Linked DNA regions of Arabidopsis thaliana. The protein of the gene in region 4 interacts with the protein of the main gene of each other region in a pairwise test. Each region holds a gene or a part of one and is shown on either strand. Other genes may lie near its edges.

Region 1 (5,126 bases), on a different chromosome or scaffold from region 4:
CATTATCATCCAATCCGGATAAAAGTTCGGTTAACTGACTTCTCACACCTCGTAACAGCTCCATAACAGCATCGTTGTGAACACATTCTATGTCCTAGAGGAGAGAAGCAAATCCGTAAGACACAAGCCATATATATACAGAAATATGTAAAAGATCATAACAAAATACACACCAGTTTCTCTGTGATGATATCTCCAAGCTTTGGATCAGCCACAGCTAAGATTTCACCATCATCACAGTTATTTTTCAAAAACTTGTGTAGACCCTTGCTTGGAGTTCAGATGTGTTGTCAAACTTATGAAAAGCTTTTAGCTTAACCATCCTTCGAGCTGACTCTGCAGAGTAGAACTCAGTACCCAAATCCTACAAGAACAAATTTGACATACTTAGAATATTAAAAACAAACGACACATATAGACAAGGTTAAGATCAATGAAAGTAAGAGAATGAATAAGGTAAATAACCTCAACATTAGAGAGCTTTCCTTCATCTAATACTTTAAAGAGTGCAAAACCACCTGACGTCTCAAACAGTACGAGCATCTTTAAGATTACGAGAAACCCTTTAATCAACTCAACATCTCAAAGTCAGAACTATACTTAGTCAAAAACTAATACTTGGAAGCCACGTTCCACTGACAACGGAGAAAGATTCAATAAATACCTAAGAGGATTTAAGCAAAGCTGCTGCGTTAGAGAAAGAAAAAAAGAGGAGCAACGAATTTGCTATAAGGGTTCGAGATTCTTAATCGACGATCTATATATATAAGAAAATAAATATATGATTTTCTATTAAAAAGTTACGGAAAAAAAACATGTGAAAATATAATTTTCACAAAAAACTAAAAAAAAACCTTTAAAAAAAAAACTATTCTTATTTTCTTAAAATGGTATATTTCTAAAAAGAATTATACAATTAATTTTTAAAGATGTCAAAATAACCGACCTTACTTCTAAGGGAAAAGATTATCAAAAACAAAGTTTATTTATTCTCTATCAAAAACAGAGTTTGATCTGCTAATTTTAATATACAAATTGTAAAATATATGATTACCTTAAAGAAACTATAAAATTAATTACTAATTCGAAAAATGATTATAGTTACTTTTTTAATAAAATGTTGGTATAAATATGTTCATCTAATCTACGTTACATACATAATCTTAAATTAATCTCAAGTACTCTGTTCAAAGTTCAAACACATCACCTAACAAGATGACCATTAAGGAATCAAAAAGTGTTCAGCTAAAGGCTAAAACTCATGTAAAATTACAAGCAAAAGCTCCAAAAACTGTGTTCTTCTTTTCTGAGAATCCAAATTCAAATCACTAACTTGAATTTAACATCAACAAACTAGTAAGTGGAATTGCAAAACTGATTCAAACAATTTACTTTCAACTTCGAAAGGGTTCACATCAGAGTATCAAACAATAAAGGAAAAAAGGTTTACAAAAACTTAAATTGGATCAAGAATCTCTGTTTACAATGAGACAAAATCAGAACAAGTTCTGAAGATTACAACCACATCATATCAGACATGACGTCTAAAGTCGGAATCTCCGAAGTTGATCATTGCATTGGTGTTATCGAGACCGAAGTAGCTGTTTAGACCAAACACATCATCGTTGGATAGATCATTCCAAAAGCAGATCTCATCATCCAAATTGACATTGGCCTCTGTTTGTGTTTCTTGTAGTAGTAGATTGATTTGGTTAATCTCTTCCTCTGTTTCAAATCCTTGGATCTCGGAGCTAGGGTTTTGATCAAAAGAAGCAACTTGTGAAGATGATTCTCCACAGATCTGATAGAGAGAGGAGTAACAGTCCTGATCAAAAGACGGAGACGAGAGGTTAGGGTTTTGATCGCCATGGAAAGAAGAAAAGGTTTGATCGCTGCAATACTCGTTGACAGAGTTTGGAGTAAAAGTAGAAGCAATTTGCGAATAAGAAGATCCATCACAATCCTCGACGTCGAGAGAACAAGTACTATTAGGGTTTTGGTCGAAACTAGAAACAAGTTGAGATTTTTCTTCCTTCTCAAGGCAAGCCATCACATGCTTCTTCATTCTCTGTAAACGATCCTCGATAATGCTTAACTCAGAGAGATCATCACACGAATGGTAGAGATCAGGGTCTTCCCACCAAAATCCTAGTTTGGATCCGGCCGGGTTAACAATCTTGGGTGGAGGCTTGCGATTTAGGTAACAATCAGCGATTTCGTAGGCAGAGGAGTAACCGGAGAAGGAATAGACAACATCGGAACTATCGGAGGGAGAGGTTACGAAGACGGCGATGTTAGCACCGGAGATAAGACAGAGATCGGCGGCTTTGGAAAAAACAGTTTGACGGCGTTTAGAGCAAGTCACGGCTCGTTGCTCTTTGGTTTCTCGTTTCTTTATTTCGATTTTGCGCTTTGTTCCTTTCTTCATCATCGTGGAATCAGATGAAGGCATAATGTTTCTTACGGAGAGACAAATAGACACAGAGAAAAAGTGAAAAGAGAGAGTAGAAGCAAGATAGATATATTACCCATATTTATAGATGTAATAGCCGCCTGAGTTATATATGTCAAACTTAATTAGGTCTTGTTGTTTTCCTTTTACTGCCCAACTTTATTTCTATGCATTTAACGTTTTTTTTCTTTCCTACTAAAACGTTTTAGAGATTTCTTTTATTACAACAATAGCAGAAAAAAATTATTACTACTATAAACAATTAAACATATATATTGGATATTCAAAATTATCTAAATATTAGATTTTAACCCGCGTTATACCGTAGAAATAATTTATTTTTTTAAATCAGTATATATAAAAGTTTGCAAATTATATCTATCTATAAAATAAAAATATTTTATAGTTTACAATTGTTATTAAGTAACGTTCTTTCAAACCCGTTCCGCCAAACTCGTCCCGTAAAAAAACCCAGTGGTACACCGTTAATTTAAATATATAATTAAAATAAATATTTTACGGGATTGCAATTGTATTTTAGTTTGTCAAACAAATTTTTTTAAAAATATTTGTCGAAATCTAATTCAAATTTTGGAGAAATTAGATTTAGTGAATTGATAAGAAATGTATTTAGGTGCATTTTGCTCATTTTAAGGGATTGCAATTGTATTTTGGTTTGTCAAACATTTTTTGTTTTAAATAGTTACCGAAATTTAGTTCAATTTTGGAGAAATCTGCGTGATATATGGGATTAGAATATATTTGGAATTTTTTTTGCTTGTTAATTAATTTATTGCAAAAAAAACAATAATTAAAAGCTAGTGGCAGCCATTATAAATAAGTTCCAACTCTAAGATTTATTTCACAAAATGGCGGCAAAAATGTATATGTAGATTTAGTTACCTATAATCAATGTTCAAAAAATCGTTGTACGGTAGCTAGACGTTCGATAGATGTCTAGGCTATTTTTTTGAACATTACCTATAATAAGTACATAAAACACTATATATTAAACTTTTTCGCGGCAACTAAATCTAATAATACTAAATCAACAGTCACTTTTAAAAAAACTGTAAGCTTCTCATTTTGACACGTATGCTTTAAGTCTAAAATTTTGCACTTCCACAATCGTAAACCAATTCACTTCCTTTTACTATTCAATAGAATATTCTTTTTTGACAAAAGATAAATTTAAATTTTTTTAACCACTTTTTCAGCAACTACTTCTTCCACGTTATTAAGATTCTTTACTTTCTCTCCCATCTTTCAAACCCTCTGCCAGTTAATTTACGATCTCAAGAGCAACCGTATAAGCCATTCTCAAGAAGATAAAAACAGGTTTAAATTCTTCTTCTTCTTTCCTTTCTCATAATCTTAGATCCTCCATTCTTTCATCTAAATACGTCTACCAGAGAAACGAAAGAATGACGTAAATAATGAAAGTTGAGACTTTTGTGATACCTAATGTGATGGACGCTGTTAACCCCTCACGACTCACTGAGTTTGGTCCACCCAATCGCTGGTATGAATATCAATAAACCTTTGGCCGTTTTGTTGCGTTTTACTTGGTCTTATCTTCTTACATTTTCCATGCACACCCGCTGCTACAAAATGACCACATGAGTTTGCGAGAATCATATAGAAACAAAATGGATGCAAATGTTTTGGGGCTTTCAATTCAGAAAAAGAAGAAGAAGAAGAAGAAGATAACCAAATTGAGAGATGGGTGGCATGACATGACATCTTCTTCCACGGTGTAGTGTGCAAAATAATTTAAATGTGAAACCATCTTATATGTTCAAGTTTAGAAAAGCGTTTTGGTTAGAAGGTAATTCATTTCTCCATCATTATTATTGTTAAGTTTTTTGAGAAGAAAAAACGGCTCTGTATATATATATATATTTTTTTCTATATATCTATGAGATAAGTTAGTGTATTTATGTAAGATTATTTGCTGTTTCCAATAAAAGTTTTCTTAATTTTAACACATATATTATTTTACAATTTGAGTAAAGTTGAATAGGACTTTTATTGAGAGTTATAGAGCAATGTGTGATACACATTGTATTTTGTGAGGTTGTGATATTCGTCATTTGTGTAATTGTTGCAAATTTCAAAGACACGAAATATATTATTGGTATTGTTGTTTTGCGTGCAAGGCACGGGCTGCCTACTAGTTTACTTACAAATAAAAAGACTTTATAAATTAAAATCCAGTTCGATAGGTGTCTAGGCAGATTTTTTGAACATTACCTACAATGATTACATAAAACACTATAGATTAAACTTTTTCCACGGCAACTAAATTTAATTAAAAATAAAAAAAACTTTATGAATTAAAATCCAGTTAAATATTTTAAAACATATATGTTCAGTAGTAAATTTTGATATTGACGGAACCATTATCACGAAATATTCAGAAAGAATTTTGATTCATATTCATCACAAAATTTATAGCACAATAAAAATATATACACACACAAAGTAGGTAGACTCTAGATTTTATTTATCTTTTGAAATTTCTAAGGTCTGGTATGATTTGCCTTATGCTCAACCCAATCCATTTCCAATTGACTATTAAGGTACTTTTTAGACTCACAAATATTCATTTTGTACAAGGTTTTTTAAAATGTCAATGATACACTTGATGAAAAATGTCGACTCTTCGGACTGA
Region 2 (5,614 bases), on a different chromosome or scaffold from region 4:
ACACTTGAATCCAACCCAAAAAACCTCGTCAGTGTTGGGATGATACACGAAGTGAAGCCTATAGTTGAAATAGAACGCTAGGAAGCCATTTTTCTAAAAAAAAATCTTAATGAATACTTAGTAGGTGATAGGTACAGATAGAGATACATTAAGGCTTGTGTTAATTTCAAATTACCTTAGGCCCATAATATATGCATATCCTAAAATATACCTTATTTTCTTAATATCTCAGCTTTTTATTTAAAATTTTCAGAAGAGCCAAATCAATTTAACCATATTCAATCTTAATACAGTCTTTAAAACGGTTTTTAAAGGAGAAGCTTCAGGTGGCACGCATCGAACTAGGAAGACCCTCTAAATCAAGGAGAAGTATCAGAAGGCACTTTACTTAAACACCACAGTCTACTGCTTCTACTTGGAGTTGTATTCACTGAATTACCTGCCTTAGCAACTGCAAACAAAAAATAGAAAACCAGTCTCTGTCCCATCGGAGAGGCCTTACACGGGACCAAAGCAAAGGCCTTTGGGGTGCTCTTTAGGGTCACATGAGCTAAGGATGCTACTCGGTGGTGCAAGGGAGTTATAACTCTTTCAAGATTTCTCCCATTCTTGAAAGAATCCAGAAAGCAAGATTCGCAAGTGTTCGGGAATATGCTTCAAGAAGCCCATGCATGACCAATGTCCTGAAAACAAAGAAGAAGGATTTAATATCGACAAATAATTGTATTGTAAAGTATGACATGTTTCAGAACATAAACTAAGAAAGATGTAATTAGTTCTGTTTATGTTTACATTGCCATATTGGATCTTTGTGGCATTAAGAAACGAGTGAGGAAGATTAGAGTGTTTGGATTTGATCTGATTTCTAAGCGCTTCTTTTCGGTTCAAGAGTGATTCACTGCGACCAATTTCAACAATGGTTCTCCTCGTATATATACTCAATGGTACTTCTCCTCCTATATATACAACTTCCGTCCTGAACTCTCTTCAAAATATTTAATCATATAAGTATTTAACCATAATGAAGGCTTGAAAAGTATTGATGTTTTTTGGAAACAAAATCCTATCTGATTTTGGCAGATCTATTTAGTTATGCATTTTAAGAACAAAAAGCTCGTAAAAAATAATTTGTGACCAAACAGAAATGACTTCATTGAAATAGAACTGACTTAAAGGTAAAACCTTCAACTCTTACAACAACTAATTGAAAAGGAAAAGCATAATTAAATACTGGTCTTTTAAAACAAACAAAACACAAAATGCACACTACTGAAACACATCACACATTGTTGTTGTTGTTGTTGTTGGTGGTGGTGGTGGTGGTGGAAGGCATGTGACCGGTGGAAGTAAGACCAACGGTTGGTGGCTGGTGGTAGTTGTAGTAGTTTCCGTCCATGAAAGGGATGTGTGCATGCTCTCCAACATAACCCGCTTATTCATAAGGATATTCTGTCAACATATTCATGAATGGATCATTTTGAAACGGATACTGATTTGGATCCAAACTCATATTCTGGTTCAAATTCATATCATAGTTTCCTTGTTGAATCTGATGATTAAAATCAACAGGAGCTTGGTATTGAACCGGCTCCTGTTGATTTTGATTCAAATTCATATTCTCAAACTGAAAATGATCACTAAAACCAGTAGGGACATAGGGCTGAACCGGCTCATACTGATTCTGATTCATAGGAAGACCGGCACCTGCAACACCAAGAGCTTGGTAGTGAACCGGCTCTTGTTGATTTTGATACAAATTCATATGCTGATATTGAACATTATCACTAAAAACAGTAGGGATATAAGGCTGAACCGGCTCATACTGCAACTGACTCATAGGAAGACCGCCACCCGCGACAGCAAGACTCTGGTAGTGAACGGGCTCATACTGATTCTGAGTCATAGGAAGACCGGCACCCGCAACAGCAAGAGCCTGGTAATGAACCGGCTCTTGTTGGTTTTGATTGAAGTTCATATTCTGATATTGAATATGATCACTAAAACCAGTAGGGACATAGGGCTGAACCGGCTCATACTGATTCTGGTTCACATTCATGTTATGAAATCCAGTAGGAACATTAACCGCAGCTTGATCTGCAACAACAGGAAGATTGGCACCCGCAACAGCAAACAGAGGAGGAACAGTTACCGCAGCTTGATCAGCAACAACAGGAAGATTGGCACCCGCAACAGCAAACAAAGGAGGAACAGTTACCGCAGCTTGATCTGCAACAACAGGAGGATTGGCACCCGCAACATCAAACAGAGGAGGAACAGAAGAAGAAGACTCACCATATTCTGTAAGGAACTTCTTCCTGGCATTAAGCTGATTAAGATATTGATCAGTAAAAAGACTTAAATCTTGAAGGTCCCTTGCACCATACTGTTGCTCACTCATCTTGCCTCCAACGCAATCAAACATAAAATGCTTAAGCTGAGTTTCTCGGTTTTCACGACGTAGACTCTCTAGTTTGTTTTGTTCTTTGGTGATTTGGTCCCGCAAGAAAGTCTCATGACTCATCATCGTCTTGGACCGTTCTGTCGCCGGCTTCTCCATGAACTCCGAAATCACCTCTTGAACACCTTCGGTTGACGGCCACACCGTTGGATTCTCGAACGGACTGTAGATTACCGCACATGCTTTGATGTCACAGAGAGTTGTCAGCTCGTGGAGTTTCTTCCTTATCCCTGCATTCCTCTTCCTGAATGTGGCTCTCCGAAAGTGTCTATCAGGTATGAGTACTAACTTAGTCTTCGTCCTCATTATCTTTATTTTTCTTTTCTTTGGTGTTTGTGTTTGTTTAGTTTCTTGGCCCAAGACTGTTTATATAGCAACGAAAAGGGTGATTTTTTACTCAGGGTGTGGCTTATCACGTTTCTGGACTCATTAATTTGTAGTTACAGCATTAAATCTTTTGGCTACTGTCTTATTAATTGATTAGGCCACTAATTAAAGCTATGACTAAGATTGGATTCTCTTTTCTCTTTACTAAATATAGTTTATCTTCGTATATTACTCACTTTTCTTTTAAGAGTAATATTAAGCTTTGATAAACTGTGAAAATTTCTAATATTTTAAGTGTTTTTCTTTTCTTTTCGAATAGAGTTTTACAGCTTAATTTCCATGTAAAATCATGAATATATAAAAGCTTAGGAACTTTGTTTATCTATAGTAAAATTATTTCGGGAAAGAATTAACGTGTCTTACGAAATATTTAGAACGAGCGAAAATTTTGAAATATGTAGACATTAAAGGAAGCCTACATAGAAAAAAGTTTGTAAACCAATATAATAAAATAATAAATATCATTAAAATTTCTATCATGTTTTAATATATAAAAAATGCTCTTTTATATGTATAAAAATTTATCTTTACAATAATAAAATATAAAAAATAATAATAAAGTAATAAAGAAATTTTTCCTTATAAAATATTAAAATCACAGATTTAGTTATATGAATTAAATTTTTAATAAAATATTTTTAAAAAATCTGCCATGGCCAGAAGGTCCATCTAATTTTGTTTAGTCAATAAGTTGATTTTAATTAAAAGGAAATAAGGGTAAAACTGTCTTTATACATTAATATAATAATATATATGGATTTTTTCCATCTTTTGACTTATACACTAATATGACTATTTATGACATTAAAACGTATCAATTAATGTACACGTGTAAAATCATGATTGGATATAAAAGAAAATCAGTTATTTTAGAGATAAATTATGAATTCATGCATATATTATACCTTTTGGAGCATATATTTTTCTTAATTTGGTTAAAATATTCATTGTACTGCCAGCTAATTATGAGCTGTAAATATTTGAAACTAGAAATTTGACAAGAGGTTTAGAGCACTTCCAATGGTTTTCACATATCCCAAAAAAGTATCCCAACTTTTAAAGTCTTAATATTTTTAATAATTTTAATTTAAAAATAAAAATGAACAATTAAAAAGAGACAATTGTAAAGTTCTAGTTAGTATACCCAAAGTTCTTATTTGAGAAATTTTCTCTTCTTTCTATCTTAAATTTTTTTTTAGTTATGATTATAATGGGGGAGTATCTTATTAAGACCCTCCAATAATTTTCATTTTTATTTATATGTCTAGTTAGGATGTTTGAACTATATATATAGGTCATGTTCAAAAGTTTAGTTAAAGATTTTTTAAATATGGTAAAATAATCTTTTGAAAAGTTATAGGTCCTTATTGAGTTATATGTATATGAAATTTTTTACAAGAACAGTTTTTTGGTAATCAAGATCCATTTGATCTCTATACTTGCTATATTGAAAACAATTATGGTCTGTTCGATTTTCTTTGAGTTAGTAAGCATAATTGGCCTTTAACAATATTTTGTGTTAGTATCGGATGGCACAGTTGAACTTAAATCCAACCCAAAAAACCTCATTAGTGTCGGGATGATAGACGAAGTGAAGCTTGCCATTTTGTTATACTTATTAGGTAGTATGTACAAACGGAAACTCATTAAGGCTTTGTGCTAATTTCAAATTATCCTTAAGCCCATAATATGTACATATCCAACCAAGATAGATCCCTTCTAAATGAAGACTTCTTATACTCCAATCTTGCTAGTGACTTAATGGAAGTGTGCAAAAGATAGTGGCTTGGTGAAAATACCTGTTAGTTGATCATTTGTCGAGATGACAGCTAATGCTTCATTCAAAGATGGAAGTCGGGATAGTAACCTAATTGAGATTCAAATTAGATTTCAAGAAAGTAGTAATTAAAATGATTCTAGTCTAGTATATTATAAATAGATTATGGTTTTGGACATTTTTGTTTTGAATATACCTTATTTTGTAAAGTATTTTCTGGAAGAGACTAATAAATTTAATCATAATCAATCGTATCAATTTTTTTTCCCGGATTAAAAATTTGCTTTTCACCGTGAAGTTATGAACAAAATTGTATGAATTCGTACTTTAACTGCAATATGTTAATACATTTACAACATCTCAGGCTTCATAATTTAAAACCTTCAAAGTAAAGGAGAAGCTTCAGGTGGCACGCATCGAACTAGGAAGACCCTCTAAATCAAGGAGAAGTATCAGAAGGCACTTTACTCAAACACCACAGTCTACTGCTTCTACTTGGAGTTGTATTCACTGAATTACTTGCCTTAGCATCTGCAAACAAAAAATCTAAACCAGTCTCTGTCCCATCGGCTTTGTTCATGTCATCGGTTAAAGAATGCCTTACACGGGACGAAAGCAGAGGTCTCTCAGGTGTCCTATAAGGGTCACGGGAGCTAGGGAAGCAACTCGGTGGTGCAGGAGAGTTAGGGTTGCTTAAAGAATCTTCTTTCAAGATTTCTCCCATTCTTGAAAGAATCCGGAAAGCTAGATTCGCAAGTGTTCGGGAATATGCTTCGAGAACCGCATGACCTATGTCCTGAACACAGAGAAGAAAGATGTTTCAGACCATTGGACTAAGAAAGATGTAGTTAGTTTTGTTTATTTATACCTTGTCATATTGGATCTTTGTAGCATCAAGAAACGAGTGAGGGAGATTAGGGTGTTTGGATTTGATCTGAGTTCTAAGCGCTTCTGCTCGGTTCAAGAGTGACTCATTGCGACCAATTTCAGAC
Region 3 (5,071 bases), on a different chromosome or scaffold from region 4:
TAACTTGTAAATTTCGTGACAATGAAGAAGTTCCGGCTATTGTTTATTGTAACTAGTTTTAATTTGTCGAAATTTTCAACAATAATTAATACTCCATAGTAGATATAAAAAAAATACTCGTACGTGGGGATGAGGTCAACGAGAGTCGAGACTCATCATGGGAGAATAATAAGAGTCCACGCGGCGAATCCATCACTACAAGAACACTAACAACTATCGATTAAAATAATAATTTACATAACACAGAACCAGATAAGTTATTGGTATTATAACATTATTCATTCATTCGTGAGCTTTATACTTTTGCTTAGAGGGAATCAAGAACAGCTAAGACAACCAGCTTGCCACTTTCTCTGTCTCTTTCCAATGTTCTTTTGTTTTTGGCCAAAGAAATAGATCAATACATCACAAAATTCTACTCATTATTTTGGATGATCCGCAAAATATTACATTTTTTTGTAACTTGATAATCGAATTTTGAGAGGAACAAAAAATTTAAGCTATATTGCATAAAACTTGGAATTATTCTTCTTCCTTTTGTTTTGTCAACTAAAACTTGGATTATTCAATCAGGGTGATAACGTAATAATCCTTATAATCTTTAACAAAAAGTAATATAATCTTAGTAGCAAGAAGGAAACATAAAATGATAAATCTGACACCACACCATGTTATGTTTCTTGTTCTTGAGCAGTAACCATTAACCAACCACAATCTCAAAAACACAAACTGAAGTAAATTTAACGCGTCATACATGTCTCTCAATAATGATCGTCTTCGTCTGCATCTTCGGCTTATTGGGTATTACTAATAGGCCTTATTGCAAATAAATGGACTTTAAAAATTAATATTGGGCCGGGCCATAAAAACCTGGTGAAAGGATTGAGTTTTGAGACCAAATTAACCTTGTGGCGAACCAAATCAAATAAAAAACAAAATCGTACCAAATTCCCGGTTATTTTACGCGGTGGTGTTCCTCTCTCGACAGAATCGGAGGTCTTCCGGCGATAAGGTTCGTGGGTTTTGCGTATCGTTTGTTGGGTACTCGCTGGGATTGTTGTTGCTGTTGTAGAATTGGATAATAGTGGGGAGTGCTGGAGCAATGTGATATCGACTTTCTTGATAAAACACAAGGGCTAGTTTAATTGCAGATATTCAATCAGCTCAATCTTTATCTTCTTCCTCATACCATTACTCAGAAACTACACAGAGATTCTTCTTCTGCAAAAAGTCTAGAGGCTTCACGAACTCAGATCCACTCTCCATCTCCTTGTATATATTAGTTGATTCAGACAAGAAGGATACTAAGTTGCAAGAATTAAGGTTTTAAGATTATAATTTGTTTCATGCAAGTTTTTGTGAAAGATTTTTTATGGAAGTTCATATATATATGTCAATACTAACTGAAAAAAGTATCAACTTAAAAGTAAAAACAAAATCTCCACAAATGGATTTGTTTTCTTAACAAAAAAAAAAAACAAATGGATTTGTTTTGCAGTTATAATGACACTATAAAATATTAAAAAAAACAGTAACAGAAGAAATCGGAAGCAGAAACAGCTTCAATCTCTCTCCGATCCGCTTGCTACTTAACTATTGACTGACTCTTAATGAAGCTTCAAAAAAACAAATTCTTTTGGACAGATTTTGTTATCAGAGAAGTCTTGAGTTGCCAGGAAAACAATAACTGCTAGGAATGTTGTGGAGAGGTGGCAGAGAAGATGTCTGTAGCAGACTGCTCGCATCATAGCTTGAAAACATGTCTTGAGAGAAGCTAATGTTACCGACCGCATTACCATAAGGGTTCTGGTTGAAATCAGAAGAGAATTCATGTGGAACCGTGTTTGAGAGATTAGGATGTTGTAGACCGTTGTTGTTGTTGATGATTTCACTCACCATACACATGTTCTGATCAAAACCATGAAGCTGATCCTGTTGCTGCATCAAGTGATTATTCAACCCGTAGTTATTCACTGCAGATGCTTGTACCGAAAGTAACGGTGAGTAGTCTTGTGTGTTTGACACGCCAGGATGTTCAAAGTTGTTGTTGGTGATGTTGTCCGAACACATGTTCTGACCAAAACCATGCTGCATCAAGTGATTCTGGTAATTGATGAGTTGATTGGAGTGTGGAGCAGACAGTGGGAGTTGTGAGAGAGTAGCATCTCCATGGTTGTACATAAACAGCGAGAACTTGCTAGGATTCAAGTGTTGGGTCTGGTTCAGATACGATGGTGTTAAACTCTGATGCACCAAGTTTGTGTTCTGTAGTTTCTGCGCCTCAACAATACGAAGCCTTTCTTGCAGAGTAGAAAGAGTCCGTTCTAAGGACTGAATCAATTGAGAGAGTTGTTGAGGAGAGTAATGATCAAAGTTTGGATACCAATTCTTCTTCAAATTCGTCTTCCCCTTGTCCTTGTCCTTCTCCTTCTCGAGGAACTCATGAAGATTGCGGCTCTTCTTGCGTTTTCTGGCCTCTTTATACCTCAAAGCCATGTCTTTCACTGTCTCTCTCTCCTTAGGCCATGTTCTCAGTTCACCGTCTGGTCCGTAATAGATGACGCAAACCTCAATAGCACAGAGAATCGAAAGCTCTTCAGCTTTCTTGAAGATGGTTTTAAGTCTATTTGTTAAACTTGTTGAATTACGTGACGAAGAAGAAGAAGAAGCTTGCTTCATCGTGACTTTGCCTTGATTCGGCAAGAAACTAGGGTTTTTTCCGAGAGAGAGAACACACGAAGAAGAAGTATTGTCGAATTGAGGGTGAAACATTGTGAACTCAATATGTTTATATAGATGCCTTGGTGCCTACGGGAACAAGCAAACGCGACGCGTCGTTGTTAATCGCGAGGCGTGAAGATCTACGCTCCTACGATTCGATTCGATTTCCAATATCTAATGTAGATTTCCTTAATTAATGTCTCGATGGTAGAGACCAAAAAAAAAGGAAACTTTTAATTAGTTTCTCGATGGTACTTTATTTTAGGCTGTACAAAATTAAGATCTAATTAAAAAAATACTATAGATTTGATTGTGTAATTATTAATTGTGCAACAAAAACTTGGAGGAAAAAGGAAAATCTGTCTCTAAGAAAAAAACTCTTAATTGTTAATTAAGGGTTTTCAAAAAATTGAAGAAAGATTTCAACTCATTTTATTTCTAGGTTTCTTCTATCTTTTTTTTTTTCTTTTTTTTTCAAATTTTTTTTTACGTTATAGTTGTTAATTAAGGGTTTTCAAAAATCTATAAATTGTTTCTCCAATCAGAATGTTGTGAAAAATAACTAACATAAAAACACTCTTCAAATAATTAAAACTAAATGTTCGAAGGGTATATATATACTCACTCTGTTTATTGCAAAATTACCACTGTAAACGCATCACAATTCATATTGTGGAAGATTAATTCTTGTTATATATGTATTAGCTAGTCAAGAAAATACACAATAATTGGGAATGTGGAAGTCGACAAATGTAGTAACCAGCTTGCCTTATTATAGACACAACAATATATATAATAGGGTACAATTAATGTCAGATTGATAACGACGATCCAATAGTGAACCACAAATCACGAATTTTCAACTCACAAATAGACTCGTTTCTTTGTTAGATGAAATGTACCAATCATATAAAACGACATTGTGATTGGCAATCACAAAGAAATATAAATTGTTTATGCCTCATTAAATATATTACTTGAATGGTAAAGTATTAAGATTTGTTTTGCGATCATGAAAGTTAACATTCTTATTTGTTGTGTATATCTCTGAACGTTCTTATTGGATTATGTTATGTGGGATCTGTTGCTGAAGTATCCCTTTAGATTCATTTCATAATCCAATTTTCTTTATTTGATAGTATATTTGATTGCAGTCAATAAATAAATAAACTCCCTATAGATTGTTTTCCATCAATTGTAAGAGTTTTTATTTCTATTTGTAACTGAGGTTTTGAGCAAAAAGTCCATGGTATAAAAAATACCCCTTAGTCAAACATGAGAGATTTCATGACGATATATAAAGCGTAAAATCGGGTAAAATATAAAGTTATAAACTAATTGTTGATCTTAGTATTAAGAATTTATTGCATTCGTTTCTTAATTTATTGCGTAAAATCGGGTTAAAATTAATCAAATGGTTGATCTCTTCAGAGCTAGGGCTTCATTTCTTACATAAACGTCGTGAAAATTTGATTATTAAAGTCCTCCAAAGATTAATAAATTAAAACAAACCAACAAGACCCCATTATAAATACACGCATAAACATTACTTTGTGTAAAAGATAACGTAGCCATTAACTTTTATGCATTAACTCCTTCATTTCTTTTTGTGCTCGTTTGGTTGAGAGAGAGAGAGGCTATATATGATGTTCCAACAAGATTACCCTCATGGCTTTTCACTCGTGGAAACATCCTTAAGTTACGAAATGTTGGATTACTTTCAAAACATCGTCGTTTCGAACTCTGAAGACGTGGCGTCACAGCAAAATTCCATTTCGTCCTCTTCTTATTCATCAGCGACACTCTCCTGCTCCATAACAGAGCAAAAATCTCACTTAACTGAAAAGTTATCTCCTCTACGAGAAAGATATGGTTGCGGTGACTTTCTGTCGCGGAAGAGGAGAAGGAGAAGTGAAAAAACGATTGTAGATAAAGAGAATCAAAGGATGAATCACATTGCCGTCGAGCGTAACCGGAGAAAACAGATGAATCATTTTCTGTCTATCCTCAAGTCTATGATGCCTCTCTCTTATTCTCAACCTGTGAGTTTCTTTCTATCTTTAATTTAGCTTATAGGATATAAGCAGGCTAAGCAATGTTGATAATTTGATATGTTCGGTTAAAATTTAGTTTAGACAAAGAGTGTTAAGGTTCCTTATTAAAAGTAAGCCGTTAATTAAATAATAGTAATTTAGTATATTTGTTTTTGAATCAATTACTAAATAAAATTGCGAATTGATAAATTTTTGGGTTTTTCCTATAATAGAATGACCAAGCATCAATCATAGAAGGGACCATTAGCTATCTGAAGAAGCTAGAACAACGTCTCCAATCTCTCGAAGCCCAATTA
Region 4 (6,097 bases):
AACATTTTCAGACGATAAGGCGCAATGACCCCACACCTCACATGAAGCTGCAGTGCCATTTCCAAAAGAGTGTGTGGATATGAATTTGAACAAAGAAACATTGGTGATGAAATTAAAAAAGAAAAGGAAAGATTACTACAAAGTGAAAAGTATGAAATTATGAAGACTACCCGATCTTCTTTGCCTCCCTTTCCGTATTTGGCATGCCCCTAACCACTACCACAACCTCTTCCCTTCGGAACTTTGTAAATAAACATTCACTGTTTTTTTTTTTGCTTTTTAAATAGCTGTTAATTGTACAAATTCATTTACATGGCTTACTGTTTTTCAAAAGGAGATACTAAATAGTATATAGTACTATAATTTTGTCCACCATGTTCTATGAAACTCGTCCAAACATAAAAAGGTTTTTATATCATCAAACGTACGACTTTCCTTTGTTATTTTCTTGGATTGGACACAACGAGATTGGTTTGGTCACTGTCCGATCTAGTTATTGATATATATATATATATATATATATATATATATATATATATATATTTTTTTAATATAATGTAGATGTAGCCCACTAACTTTTGATAAGCTTTCATTTTTCTATACTTTCATTTTTCTATAATGTAAAAAGATAGATGAAAATGAAACTACTAGATTACAACTTTTTAACAAAAAATAAAAAACTACTAGATTACAGCTCTTGATTGGTTGATAACTTGATATCATATATCGTGTTTGTAGTTGAAGATGTAAAGATTTATCATCTTGTATTTGAATTTTGCACAATATATAATGTGATGATTCTATGTTTGTTTGTAAACTTATGTGCAAATGGGCGATAACTAAACGTTCGTAAAATAGTTACATGTACTAATTAATCGAAGCACATAAATATTATATATATATATATGTATATATATGAAACGATTCATTGATTTTAAGTATTTAATTTATTTTTTAAGATTTTAGTTGTCTTAACCTCGTACGAAGAAGAAGGATATATACTATTTAACTCGTGGAGATGATGAGGTTCGGATATTTTTCCTTAAGACCACAAGACACTGACACGCCGACTGATCGATAAAAAAAGTTAAGGCCTACAATACAAAAGAGTAGCAGATTCCCTTACACGTGTTTCATTTATGATCTGTTAATTAACTCCATTGAGCTTCAATATCTCATTAGCCGAAAATTAACTTGACGTTTTCCATTGAACTGTCGAAAAAATTTGTAGAAAAAGTGAAATGTCCCCTATTTAACTTCCAAGTTTAAAACCTAAAATTAATTAGTTACCGTTTTGATGAATAACGTTGAAAGAATCGTCAACATATCAAATGATGCAGATACAACAAGGGACAAAAACATCAAAAAATTGATTAAAAATAATCATTCAGATATTAGCAATTAAACTGTAAGTAAATGATTGCATATATATATATGAATGAATACATATATATGTATCAAACTGTAAGTAAATAATACATACATATATATATATATATATAGGAAAATATCTCATTTTTCAATCATTTTCAGAGGTAAACATTTTTAAAGACAATTTTACCTAACCCAACATCTTACTATATTTAACCAGCTCTGCGAGAGCTTCAAAACAATGATGAATTTTCTGCCCCTTTTCATTGACCAAATAAAAGTTCACAAATTTGTAAAACCAATCAGCATTAATTTCGCACGTAGTTTACTTCGTCCGATTTTAGATCAAGTAGACATTTTAACCAAACATATTGAATCACGGTTCAATCAAGATACATGGTTGCGAGTATAATATATCAATCCTTCACCGCATTAGAAAACCAAATTTTCTATTTAATTTAGCGTGTTCTTTTAATGAACGCAGCGTCAGCGACAACAAAGAAGAAAAACAGATCTGCGGCGAGAAAAAATACATTGATTAGAGAAGAACTGCCGCAAAAGATGTACGATGATGAAGATTGACGTGACGCTGCTTAATTTCAGCGATTCATTTGATGCAATTGCAATTCATCGGCTATCATCGGCGACTCATCCGAAATTGTTATTTTCAAGCTTTAATGTCGTTTTACTTACCTACTACTTCTCATGACACGTCGTTTCAGTCCGCTATTGCCGCTGGCGCAGCATCAAATAAAAGAACACGCTAGGATAGCTTGAAAAGGGTACAATAACTAGTTATAGAAGAACATGAGCCATAACATTTGGAAACAAAATGAGTTAGTTTGAATTTGAAACATCGCGCTCTATGTAAAAAAAGCAAAAAAGAAAAGAAAAGAGTCCTAATAATTAAAAAGAGAAAATAAAAGGAATTTTCAATGGTCCGACTGTTACAAGTAGATTTCCATTTTTAGGAATCTAGCTATAACGATGAAGACAGAGTTATCATTTTGTTCCATCAAATATATGACGATATTTATATTTAATTTCTTCAACAACAAATATCTCATTTGTTGGTGCCACTTTCACATACTTAGGACGACTAATAATTAATTAAAAAGGATTTATGTAATAACGCACCATATTAACCTGTAACAAGAAGAATTGAAAGTAATACAAGTTTATATATATAGCAACACATTTATCGTGTACGATACTTTATTCCTTTTATCTATTCTTGAAAAAAAGTTACCAATTCTTGAGAAGAAGAAGAAATCAGAATCAAGAGAAGGAGAGAGAAAGATGGGAAGAGGGAGAGTGGAGATGAAGAGGATAGAGAACAAGATTAATAGACAAGTGACCTTCTCAAAAAGAAGAAACGGTTTGCTGAAGAAAGCTTATGAGCTTTCTGTTCTTTGCGATGCCGAAGTTGCTCTCATCATCTTCTCAAGCCGTGGCAAGCTCTACGAGTTTGGTAGTGTTGGGTATATATATCTTTGCTCCTTTGAACCAACTTTTGTGCTATATATATTAAGATTCATCCAATAAAGCTATGTTTTTTATATGAAAATTGATTAATAAATGGGTTCATTTGCTACTTGTTACATCGTACGATTCAAGAGTCGGATCATGTTTTGATCTTGTGGTTATTCTTAATGGTTGTATCGTTTATCCTGTGGTAATTAGGGTTCATCGTTATATCGTGTCTCCCTCTTGGATCCTTTATCATAAGCTAATAGGTCCTTCCGTACGTTATAATTTGTTGATTTCCCATTCATGAATTCCTTTGATTCTTTAATCTTACAGATGACAGGTTTCAAATGGGTTTAATTCTAGCTTTAAAAAAAAAAAAAACAAACAAACTAGGGTTTTCCCTTTTAGATCAGTGTGTAAGATATATAACTTGAGTTCTTGTCGTAAGAAGAATCTTTATTTGTTGAATCGAGCTAATGATCTCCCATTTTTGTTTTAATTGAATTTGTAGAATTGAAAGCACAATCGAACGGTATAATCGTTGTTACAACTGCTCTCTAAGCAATAATAAGCCTGAAGAGACTACACAGGCAAGTGTGTGTACGTACTTTGAATATATTTACAATTATTGTTTCTGATGATAATGATTCTAGCTAACTCTATTTTCTCAAATTCTCATGTTACTATATATATGCATTTCATATAATCTATATGGTGCAGAGTTGGTGTCAGGAGGTGACAAAGCTTAAATCCAAATACGAATCTCTTGTTCGTACTAACAGGTCTAGTAATTAAGAGTTTTCTATAACCCCTTGAAATTAAATCGTTATTGTCATCTTCCATTATATATGTATAGTTACAAATCTATTGTTATGGGTGTTGATAATTGCTAATTATAAAAGGAATTTGCTTGGAGAAGATCTTGGAGAAATGGGTGTGAAGGAACTGCAAGCGCTCGAGAGGCAGCTCGAAGCCGCTCTTACCGCGACTCGACAGCGCAAGGTCACATGATCTAGACTGGTCTTGTTTCATTAAAAATATATTCATAACTAAAACATTCAACTAAAATATGCAGACACAAGTTATGATGGAAGAAATGGAAGACCTTAGGAAAAAGGCAAGTTATATAAAAATGTTTCATACCAAACTGCAAAACATATATGCATATCAATCAATCTATGTTTGAAATGGCAGGAGAGGCAACTAGGAGACATAAACAAACAACTCAAGATTAAGGTTTTTATTTCTAGACATCGCAAAATTATATTATAACTTCTCATATAATTAATTATGACATTTGGATCTTAACTAAACATAAATTTTCAATAGTTTGAAACGGAAGGCCATGCTTTCAAAACCTTTCAAGACTTATGGGCAAACTCGGCGGCATCGGTGGCCGGGGATCCAAACAATTCTGAATTTCCGGTAGAGCCTTCTCATCCTAATGTATTGGATTGCAACACCGAACCCTTTTTACAAATAGGGTAAGAATATACCATTTTTCCCGGCCCTTACAAATAAATGGATAGAAATAAGATATGATTATAAGACTTGTTTGGTATTTGGATTAGGTTTCAACAACATTACTACGTGCAAGGTGAAGGGTCTTCGGTATCAAAGAGTAACGTGGCAGGTGAGACTAATTTCGTCCAAGGTTGGGTTCTTTGACTCTCTGTTGATTAGACCACGATGCCACGGTCAGGCCAATTTCAGCTCTCTACAGTTGTTCTTTTTTCAAATTAGATTTCTGGGTTTTTTTTTCCTATAAGAAAAACTTTTGCACTAGATGTTTGTCATTTAATTTCCAGCTCGTGTGAATCTATATTCGCATGTATGTGCTTTGAAGAATTTCTCCTCTTACTCCTACTTGATCTAAAACATTATTTTTGTTTTGGTTTTACCAACATTTTCCAAATGAAATAAACTTTAATAATTGTTCTAAAATCAATTAAATGAATAGATTTATTTGGCATGAATACTATTAAATCTCAGACATATATTTATGAATGCTGAATTGTGAATAGTAGGAACAAATAATAAATCGTGCGACGTCGAATCAATTGGGTGACGAATAATCAAAGGAGGATTCAGCTCAACTACGCAAGTAGGAGTAATGAACTTCCGAAACAATTGGGTGAGTAAATGAAATCAACCTGTAACTAAAAAAATGAACGAATAATAAAATGCCACGTAGTTGACCTTGGAAAAAGCGCAATGATATGAAGCCAGGTAGGACCCACATTGCTGTTTCTTGATTTGACTTTTGGAAGAGAAGAGCTCCTCTTTCTTTAGCAAACTTTACTGTTGTTGATATATGTCTTTTCCATAAAGTCTTCATATTTATTGAGGTTTTTTTTTTTTTTTTACATACTAGAATTTAAGTTTTTAATACTCTCTTATATTTATGGGCTGTTATCGCAAAGTAGGCCCTTTTATAAGTGGGCCATTACAAAATAAATTCATGGGCCCATATAAATGTTAACGGCACATGTCATATCACAATCATGTATCTCTATTATCTAAAGATTCTAAACGATTTGAAATATTGGATTATGCGTATAATGTTTTTTTTTTCTTTGATGGGCTAAAAGCCTCTACAACATTTGGATTTATGCCCTAAATCTCCTCTCCCGGTGATCTTTTGAACTTGCTTGGGGGGGACGCAACTTCTTCCAAGACAGTCACACATGCTACTAGACCGATCTTTGTATTGTAGAGTTGCCACCGTTGTCGTGTATCAGCTCTTCATCTGAAATGATGCAGTTATTGATTTTTGGCCAATGGATAATGTTTAATGTGCTCTCATAATTTTCTTTATATTTTTTTACCAGTTTGGGAAGTTCTAGACCTCTAGTCTCTCGACTTGAGAAACCAGTAAGTTATATAGTACAGATATTCCTGATTTTATGATTTTGAGGGAAGAAAGCTAAATTGATACATGAAAACAAAACATAATCAAAATTACATTCTAGAGAGGCAAGTGTAAGAACATAGATACATAACACAAGCAGTTCAGAATCATTAAAGAAGTGACTGAGAGAGAGAGAGTGAGAGAGAAATAAGACAACAAGAGAGAAGCAGCTTTAGAGTTTTGTTACTTGTCCTTATACACTCTCAGTACTGCTAAACCTGTTTTTACTTAGTTTGTTTTTTTGTTTTTTTTGTTGAGTGGAGATCACTTTCTTGAAGAACAAGGTAACCCAATGAACAATTGCGTCTCTACTTCAGAACTTGGGCTACTCTCTTCATCACCTCT

What was found.
Region 1: the proteins of AGL6 (region 4) and AGL39 interact in a two-hybrid assay, tested with the Arabidopsis thaliana proteins (one large-scale study listed by BioGRID).
Region 2: the proteins of AGL6 (region 4) and AGL92 interact in a two-hybrid assay, tested with the Arabidopsis thaliana proteins (one large-scale study listed by BioGRID).
Region 3: the proteins of AGL6 (region 4) and AGL78 interact in a two-hybrid assay, tested with the Arabidopsis thaliana proteins (one large-scale study listed by BioGRID).

Annotation. Positions count from the first base shown.
Region 1 is NC_003076.8:9,543,959-9,549,084, reverse strand, and holds AGL39 (AGAMOUS-like 39), read right to left. Parts: upstream 2,539-5,126; 5' UTR 2,453-2,538; coding exon 1,532-2,452; downstream 1-1,531. Other genes in the region: AT5G27140 (NOP56-like pre RNA processing ribonucleoprotein), read right to left, coding at 1-94, 174-266, 320-364, 466-543.
Region 2 is NC_003070.9:11,321,413-11,327,026, forward strand, and holds AGL92 (AGAMOUS-like 92), read right to left. Parts: upstream 2,765-5,614; coding exon 1,507-2,764; intron 1,417-1,506; coding exon 1,280-1,416; downstream 1-1,279. Other genes in the region: ROPGEF14 (RHO guanyl-nucleotide exchange factor 14), read right to left, coding at 5,062-5,418, 5,491-5,614. UniProt on the Arabidopsis thaliana protein: Putative transcription factor.
Region 3 is NC_003076.8:26,107,934-26,113,004, reverse strand, and holds AGL78 (AGAMOUS-like 78), read right to left. Parts: upstream 2,680-5,071; coding exon 1,654-2,679; 3' UTR 1,602-1,653; downstream 1-1,601. Other genes in the region: AT5G65320 (basic helix-loop-helix (bHLH) DNA-binding superfamily protein), read left to right, coding at 4,365-4,763, 4,988-5,071.
Region 4 is NC_003071.7:18,801,783-18,807,879, forward strand, and holds AGL6 (AGAMOUS-like 6), read left to right. Parts: upstream 1-2,407; 5' UTR 2,408-2,670; coding exon 2,671-2,852; intron 2,853-3,352; coding exon 3,353-3,431; intron 3,432-3,561; coding exon 3,562-3,623; intron 3,624-3,743; coding exon 3,744-3,843; intron 3,844-3,916; coding exon 3,917-3,958; intron 3,959-4,035; coding exon 4,036-4,077; intron 4,078-4,170; coding exon 4,171-4,325; intron 4,326-4,412; coding exon 4,413-4,509; 3' UTR 4,510-4,804; downstream 4,805-6,097. Other genes in the region: AGL20 (AGAMOUS-like 20), read right to left, coding at 6,017-6,097. UniProt on the Arabidopsis thaliana protein: Probable transcription factor. Forms a heterodimer via the K-box domain with AG, that could be involved in genes regulation during floral meristem development.